2 linked regions of the Macaca mulatta genome follow. The protein of the gene in region 1 purifies or fractionates together with the protein of each later gene. This does not show direct contact. Links are inferred from orthologs where the notes say so. Each region holds a gene or a part of one and is shown on either strand. Other genes may lie near its edges. The genes, in order: MAU2 and KPNA1.

What was found.
Region 2: the proteins of MAU2 (region 1) and KPNA1 purify together in Homo sapiens (affinity purification with mass spectrometry; 3 studies listed by BioGRID and IntAct, with this or other methods). This does not show direct contact. The link is inferred for Macaca mulatta from reciprocal best matches to the Homo sapiens genes MAU2 and KPNA1.

What each region holds. Positions count from the first base shown.
Region 1 is NC_133424.1:19,928,588-19,932,395, forward strand, and holds part of MAU2 (MAU2 chromatid cohesion factor homolog), read left to right. Parts: intron 1-351; coding exon 352-446; intron 447-1,727; coding exon 1,728-1,755; intron 1,756-2,125; coding exon 2,126-2,281; intron 2,282-3,435; coding exon 3,436-3,582; intron 3,583-3,676; coding exon 3,677-3,767; intron 3,768-3,808. UniProt on the Homo sapiens protein: Plays an important role in the loading of the cohesin complex on to DNA. Forms a heterodimeric complex (also known as cohesin loading complex) with NIPBL/SCC2 which mediates the loading of the cohesin complex onto chromatin.
Region 2 is NC_133407.1:161,251,030-161,255,423, reverse strand, and holds the start of KPNA1 (importin subunit alpha-5), read right to left. Parts: upstream 2,886-4,394; 5' UTR 2,804-2,885; intron 1-2,803. UniProt on the Homo sapiens protein: Functions in nuclear protein import as an adapter protein for nuclear receptor KPNB1. Binds specifically and directly to substrates containing either a simple or bipartite NLS motif.

The sequences.
Region 1 (3,808 bases):
GACAGACCCCACAGGCACCCACGAAGCACTCAGAACAGCCCTAGGTGCTCTCACAGCCTTGGGGGCTGCGCCATGAGCCTTGACTGCTGGTTCTATGCTCCATTAAGTTTAGACGGTGTCTACTGCAGGCACCATTCAGTTAGATGACATATATACCACAGGCCAACTGGAGCTCTGTACCCAAAGCAATTAGCGTTGATGAGATAATTTGGTTAATTTAGCTCACAACTGACACAGGCAGTTTCATTGACGTGGGGAGGTTTGGTTGTTGGTTAACAAAGCACAAAGGCCAGGTACCGTAAAACTGATGGGTTTGGCAGCAAAGGTCACTGCTCTCTCTCTCCGTTTTAGCAACTGCACACGCTTGAGAAGGACCTGGTGTCGGCCTGTGACCTCCTGGGTGTGGGGGCCGAGTACGCCCGGGTAGTGGGATCTGAGTACACACGGTAGGCACCCACTCCCCTCCTTCCCTCCCGCTCTCTTAACATAGAGGGGGCTTGGCCACCTTGGTCCAGGACAAAGAACAGAAATGGCATTTCAGGCCAAGCACAGTGGCTCACAGTATATTCCCAGCACTTTGGGAGGTCAAGGTGGGAGGATCACTTGATCCCGGGAGTTCAAGACCAACCTGAGGAACATAGTGAAACTCCATCTCCACAAAAAATACAAAAGTTGGGGCCAGGCTTGGTGGCTCACGCCTGTAATCCCAGCACTTTGAGAGGCTGAGGTGGGAGGATCATGAGGTCAAGAGATTGAGACCATCCTGGTCAACATGGTGAAACCCCATTTCTACTAAAAATACAAAAATTAGCTGGGCGTGGTGGCGAGTGCCTGTAATCCCAGGTACTCAGGAGGCTGAGGCAGGAGAATCGCTTGAACCTGGGAGGCAGAGGTTGCAGTGAGCCAAGATCGTGCCACCGTACTCCAGCCTGGTGACAGAGCGAGACTCCGTCTCAAAAAAAAAAAAAAAAAAAAATTGGTCACCATGAGGCACAGGTTTGAGCCTGAAGTTCAGGCACCCAAACTTGCCCACTGGCCCTCACACTGTGTGTCCACCGCCGCATATTTTTTGTAGAGATAGGGTCTCACCATGTTGCCTAGGCTGATCTCGAATTGCTGACCTCAAGTGATCCGCCCACCTTGGCCTCCCAAAGTGTTGGGATTACAGGCGTGAGCCATTGCACCCAGCCCCCTTCTGGGCTTTTCACATGAGTGTGTCTAAGCCATGTAAGAAAAATAAATACAGGCTGGGCGCGGTGGCTCACACCTGTAATCCCAGCACTTTGGGAGGCCGAGGCAGGGGGATCACTTGAGGTCAGGAGTTCGAGACCAGCCTGGCCAACGTGGTGAAACCCCATCTTTACTAAAAACACAAAAATTAACCAGGCATGGTGCCAGGCTCCTGTGGTCCCAGCTGCTCAGGAGGCTGAGGCAGGAGAATCGCTTAAACCCGGAAAGCAGAGGTTGCAGTGAATTGAGATCACACCACTGCACTCCAGCCTGGGCAACAGAACGAGACTCTAAGAAAAAAATAATAAAAATAAATAAAAATAAACACAGGCACAATAGGATAAAACAGAGCAGTCTTGTACGGGGACTATTTACTGTCGTCCACTGAACTGTCCCCCGAGGTGGCATATTAGGTCCTGTGAGCCTTGGGGTAGTCACAGTCATCTCAGGAGGCTCCTGGGCCTTCTGGGACCTGACCCCTGCCTCTTGTTTTGCAGGGCGCTGTTCCTCCTCAGCAAGGGGATGGTAAGTTGAGGCTGGGCATGGCTGGATGCAGCCGGTGTCGTGGAGGTGAGGCAGGACTCCCTGCTCAGACCCCGTCCGCTCTCCATGGCATGGCCCCTCACACGCCCAGACCCTTAGGCATAGTGAGCAGCCTGGAGTGTGAGGCCCAGGCCCTGCTGGGTTCAGGAGGGAAACTCAGGCTCCTGCCGATGGGATTCATGCTGAGGCAGGAGCCTGGTTAGGAGCTGCCTGGGCCGGGGTTTCAGGCTGGCCTTGCCCTCTGGGTTGGAGGCAGTAGTCCCAAGGCAGGTGGGCAGGTGAGCCTGTGCTCCCAGTCCCAGGAGGGCCCCTGCAAGCCCTGTACCCTACACCTGTGTCTCTCCCTCCCCAGCTGCTGCTGATGGAGCGCAAGCTGCAGGAGGTGCACCCGCTGCTGACCCTCTGTGGGCAGATCGTGGAGAACTGGCAGGGGAACCCCATCCAGAAGGAGTCGCTGCGTGTCTTCTTCCTGGTGCTCCAGGTCACTCACTATTTGGATGCCGGGCAGGTGTGTGGCGCCTCTTGGGCGGGCTGCTGGTTGTGACCAGTGGGTGTGGGTGGCACCCAGGCCAATGGGTCTTGGGCTGTGAGGTCACCTGTGTCATTGCCTTACCTTGCCACACAGCAGGGCTGTCTTTCCAGCCCCAGACACACACACTTCTGTCCTGCTCTGCTGCGAGTGCTGGCACCATCGTGCCTGCCTGGTGTGCTGGTGCCTGGGAGCAGGGTCTGTCCTGGCCACCCTGCCTCCCTTTGGGAGTACTATGTGTGACATTGTATACACTCGCTCAGTGTGTGGATGCTCAGAGATTGCAATGACGGTTCAGGGAATCATGAGAATAAACCACAGAGGTGCTGGGGCGGTGCCTGCACACAGCAGATGCCCAACTGGTGTCTGTCTGGCCCCCCTGCTGTGGGATTGAGTAGGGACTGATGTGCCCAGCTGTGTCCGAGACTGGACTCCATGACCCCGCCGTGGGTGGGAAACAGCTGTGTTTGAGCTCCTTGTCTGTGCTTGTGTGACCGTCTCGGCCCTTCAGGGGCTGGGGGCTGCCCTGTGCCCCTCAGACCCACCTATCATGGTGGGCCACAGGCGAGTCTCTCCACAGGGCTTGGTAAGGGGGTTGTCCAGTTCCTCCATCCATACCCATCGTTGCCCATTGGGTGAAGCACTGCACTCGGCGCATAGGGACACAGAGCAGACTGCAGCCGCGCTTCCCTCGGGGTGCTAGGGCCGCAGAGACATCCCTCGGGGCCTCAGGGCGAGATGGACCACAGCGCTTGCCCGACTCCTGGGCCAGGAAGCCACCTCCCACCCCCGCGGAGCACAGCCTCCCCTTGCTGTCTCAGGTCTGGCTGCAGGAAGACCAAGTGCAGCTCCAGCAGGGTCTGGACAGGCCTCTCCTGGGCCTTGGTGTTGGACCCAACACTGGGCAGTGGACAAGCCTCAGTCCCACAGCTGCCCGCCTGGCCGTGCCCCGTGCCCTGAAAGCCTGGCTGATTCATGGGAGTGCGGCAGGGGCGGGTCCATCTTGCAGGAGGTGGCCCTGGCAGAAGGGGAAGGCAGGTGCTCCCTGAAGGAAGGGGCAGGGGTGGCTGGGCTGGGCCCGGCTTCCTGAGAGGCCAGGCTCAGGTGGGTGCTCGGGTGTGGGTGCTGCACAGGTGAAGAGCGTGAAGCCGTGTCTGAAGCAGCTGCAGCAGTGCATCCAGACCATCTCCACGCTGCACGATGATGAGATCCTGCCCAGCAACCCCGCTGACCTCTTCCACTGGCTGCCCAAGGAGCACATGTGTGTGCTTGTCTACCTGGTGCGTCCCCACCAGGGCCCGAGCCAGGGCTGGGGGCGGGGGCGGGGAGAGGGAGAGGGCCCTGGTAACCCCTGCTGTCTGGTCTTGTTGACAGGTGACTGTGATGCACTCCATGCAGGCCGGCTACCTGGAGAAGGCGCAGAAGTACACGGACAAGGCCCTCATGCAGCTGGAGAAGCTCAAGAGTAAGTCAGGCGCTCGACTGGCCACGTGGCCACAGCGCCCC
Region 2 (4,394 bases), on another chromosome or scaffold:
CAAATGTAAAGGGAAAAGGACCATCGAGAGCAACAGAGAATAAAGAAAATAATCCAGGAAACAACTGACAGCAATTCCAGATTACGTATAAAATAATTTTTAACATAGTTGAGACTAAAGAAAATTATAAAAATTGAACACAGCTCTGAGCCTCCTGACAGTCAAAAGTATGGAGAAACAGGATGGCTTACAAAACAATCTAATAAAACCAGTCATCTGTTTTTAAAAAAAAAAAAAAAAAAAGCTTAATACTGGGGTCTTAGGAAGAATTTGTCTCCAAGGTCTGTATTTTATAGGAACCAATAAATAAATTAGAAATTTCTTCATTAGATGTAAATGAAGAAAATGTTTTTCATGGCCCCTTTTGGTATGTATCAGTTCTAGATAAGATGTATATTAAATCATAGTTCTGTGAAGAAACTTCTATGAGAACCACTTTATAAAGTAACATAATGCAGCTGGGCGCAGTGGCTCATGCCTGTAATCCTAGCACTTCAGAAGGCCGAGGAGGGCGGACCGCGTGAGCTCAGGCGTTCGAGACCAGCCTGGGCAAGACGGTGAAACCCCATCTATACTAAAATACAAAAAATTAGCCGGGTGTGGCCGTATGCGCCTGTAGTCCCAGCAGTCTCAGGCAGGAGAACTGCTTGAACCAAGGAGGCGGAGATTGCAGGGAGCCTGCAGGGAGCCCAGATCGCATCACTGCACTCCAGCCTGGGCAACAGAGCAAGTCCTCCACACCCCCCCCAAAAAATAATAAAATTAAAAATAACATAATGCAAGAACAGTGATTTCAGGTGATACCTTTCCCATTTAGTTTATTCTAGGTTTTTATAAATGTATGTTTTGTTGCCCTACAGGACTGTAAATTCCTCAAGGCTTATGTTGTCTGCTTCCATTTCAACTGCCTTTACTATTTAGTAGAGTGCTTTACAGTTGCTACTCAACTATAACTGATAAAATGTTATGCAGTCAATATTTGTAATATTAGCTTTCCCCGCTACACTATAAATTCCATGAGAACAGTGACAGTGAGTTTTGATCGCGACTATATCCCTCCAAATCTAGAAGATCACTCTATAAGTATTCGCTGATTGAACGGATTAAATAAAGAAAACACAACGAAAAAGTATGAAAGGAGAGAAATAATTTAAATGGCAGTAACTTTGGGTTCTAAGGTTGTTCTCAATAAGAGCTAGAAGACCTCAGGTAAGTTACTTAACATTTGATTGTCAATGCTTTCATCTGTAAAATAGAAAAATTAACAGATATTTCAGATTTAAATGTTTTTAATATATATATAAAGCATTTAACACAATACCTGAAAAAGAACTCAATAAATGTTAATTCCTTTACTTTCTCTTACATCTCATCTATCCATAAAACAGTGCCTTCCAGGAATATATTATTTCAGTAAAAATACAACAGTACTCATTCTTACTTTCCTTTGAAAAATTAAATTTTCATCTCTTTAATCTTTAAAAAGGAGGGAAAAATAATTTGTGGACTGCTTTCAAAATATTACAAATGCAAAAGCTAGTTAAGAAAAAAACAGTGTCGAGAATGAGCCTTGTTGGTGGCACCCGCCTGTAGTTCCAGGTAATGGGGGGGATGCCTTGAGGCCAGGAGTTCCAGATCAGCCAGGGAAACAAAGCTAGACTCCATCTCTTAAGAAAAAAAAAACAGGAGGGGGGAAATCACCTTATCTACTAATAGAGATTTTTAAGCAACCGTTTATTTAAGAAAAAACGGTGAAATTCAAGTTAATATTACTTGACAGTACCCGTTTCAGAAAAAAAAAAAATACTCTGCATTGCTGGGTGTGGTTGCCCGAGACTAGTCCCAGCTACTTGGGAGGCCAAGGCAGGAGGCCAGTTTGAGCTCAGGAGTTGGGAGTACAGCCTAGGCAATATAGCGAGACCCCATCTCTTTAAAACACAAAAATTCGGCAATCGTTTGTTCCGAGTTGAAACCTTAAAAACGAAATATTTTGAACGCTTTCACTTAAAAGTGGAACACGACCCAATCCCAAAAACATTACTTCATGACGACTCCCTTGACTCCAGTCATCCTTCAGTTTTATCCTCCAGTTGTGAGCTTAATCTGATACCTAGCTGTTTCCCTCGCATCGCCACTTTAACACGCGGTGTGCAGACCAAGTTCTGTCATTCCTGTAATTACCACACCCCCAATCAGCCGCTACAGGCCCCTGTTGTTATGACATCTGTAAACTGCAGCCGGTCGTCTCCACCTCCCCGCGCCCCCGCCCCGCTTCCCCTACCTCCCTCCGGGCCGCCGGCTCCGACCCGGGCTGTAACTTGTGAATTCCCAAGACGGTCCCTTCTTGCCAGGGTTAGAAATTTTACACGCCACCCCTGCTCCTTCCTGCCTCTGTCAGAGCGCTCTGCACGGCCCACCTCCGCCTCCCGCCCGCCGCCCAGCCACGGCGCAGGCTCCGCGCTCGCCTCCTCTCCGCCCGCTGCCTCGGCACTCCGCAGTCCCCGGCGCCGCTTACAGCCCTGCCGCCGCGCCACGCCGCCCCGCCCCGCCTCGACCGGCGTTCCCGATGGCGATCACACCAGGGCTCCCCACCCCCACCCTCTCCTCCGCCGGCCGCGCGGCCGTTAGGACAGCAGGGCCCGTGACGCACGGACGCGGGCCGAGCGTCCGGGCCCAGGCACCGCGGCTCGAGGCCCGGCCGGCGCCCGCCCTCGCCCCAGGGCCTCTCCCGAGTCCCTCCCGGACTGCCCGGATCTGCCGGCGGGAGGGGGAGGGGCCGGGGCCGCAAAGCCCCCGCACTCACCAGGCTCAAGGCAACCGATCCCGGTGCCACCGCTGAAGTGAGCCCTCGCTCGCCCGCCCGCCGTGCCGCTCCCCGCGCACAACCTCGAAGAGCTGGCCCGCGCCTCGGCGGTGCTCAGCAGGCCTCGCTCTCCGCCGCCGCGCACCTAGCAGCAAGACTCAGCTCTGCCGGCGTTCGCAGTGCGCCTGCGTGCGGGGGCCGGCCCGAGCGCCTACGCGCGCCCCTCCGGCGCTTGCCGCAGAGGCTGCCGGGAGACGTAGTCTTGTAACGCTCTCTCGCCGCACGTTCCTAGCGATTCTCGCCCAGCCTGCGAAGAGTCGGGGATCGGGGAGAGGAGAGGGTCTCGCTAAGAAGGAGGTTTGCAGACCATAACAAAGGTTGGAGAAAGTTATATGTGCAAACCTGTCTTTGCTAAGCTCTTCCAGGGCGGATCGATGTTCACCTCTGTATAGCTTCTAACAAAGTAGGTAACTAATACGCGTTGATGGAATGAATGATGGAATGATTGAAGACTGAGGGAGTATTACAAAATTAGTAGGTCAGCGCCTCGTGTCTAAAGGGCTCACATGCAGTATGAATGCAAGAAGCTTCTGGACATTCCTTTTTTAGTTATGTCCCATCCCCTTTGCTTGATAATGTATGAGTAGTATCAAAAATAATTAAGTGCCGGGTGCAGTGGTTCACACCTGTAATCCCAGCACCTTGGGAGGCCTAGGCCGGTGGAATACTTGAGACCAGGAGTTTGAGACTAGCCTGGGCAACATCGCGAAACCCCGTCTCTACTAAAAATACAAAAATTAGCCGGGGGTGGTGACGGGCGCCTGAAGTCCCAGCTACTGGGGAGGCTGAGGTGGGAGAATCACCTGAGCCCGGGGTTGACGATGAGGCTGCAGTGAGCCGAGATCGCACCACTACACTCCAGCCTGGGCAACCGGAGTGAGACCCTGCCTCAAAAAAAAAAAATAATAATAATAATAATTAAGAAACTACATGAAACACAAATACTCGTTTAACTCTCAAGTGCTCTCAAACGAAAACTTGGAGCAAATGATTGTTAATGTTAAATTTGATGGAATTCTTTGGGGGAGCAAATGGAGTAGTGGCTTCAAAAGAAAAACTGAAGCCAGCCTAGCAGGGGTCACAGAATAGTAGATAGATTTAAAACATATGCCAAGAAGCAAGGTAAAAGAGATGAGGTAGATTAGTACATTTATAAATGTCCCAGGGAAGAGGAGAAGACAGAGGACCACTCTACCTGAATCCTAGGTTATGCAATGTTCATTTGTCCTGGACTTCACTCTGCTGCATCAGCATTCTCCCGCGATGTGTTTACTAAGATCAGAGTTGAGTTTGAGCAATGTGGCTGGGGAAAGGGAAGGTGTGTTCACCAGGAGAGACTTAAGGGCAAGTTTGCCTGACCCCAGCTAGACTGAAGACAGATCACCTTATTCCAATAAGGAGGTAAGATTGATTATTCAGAGCTGGTCTTCAGTCTTCGGGAAAGCTAATTTATTTCCAGTTCACCCTTAATCCTAGCTAGTCCTTGATGGTCCCATCCAAAAGTCTGGGCTATTTACTCAGGCCTCTTCTC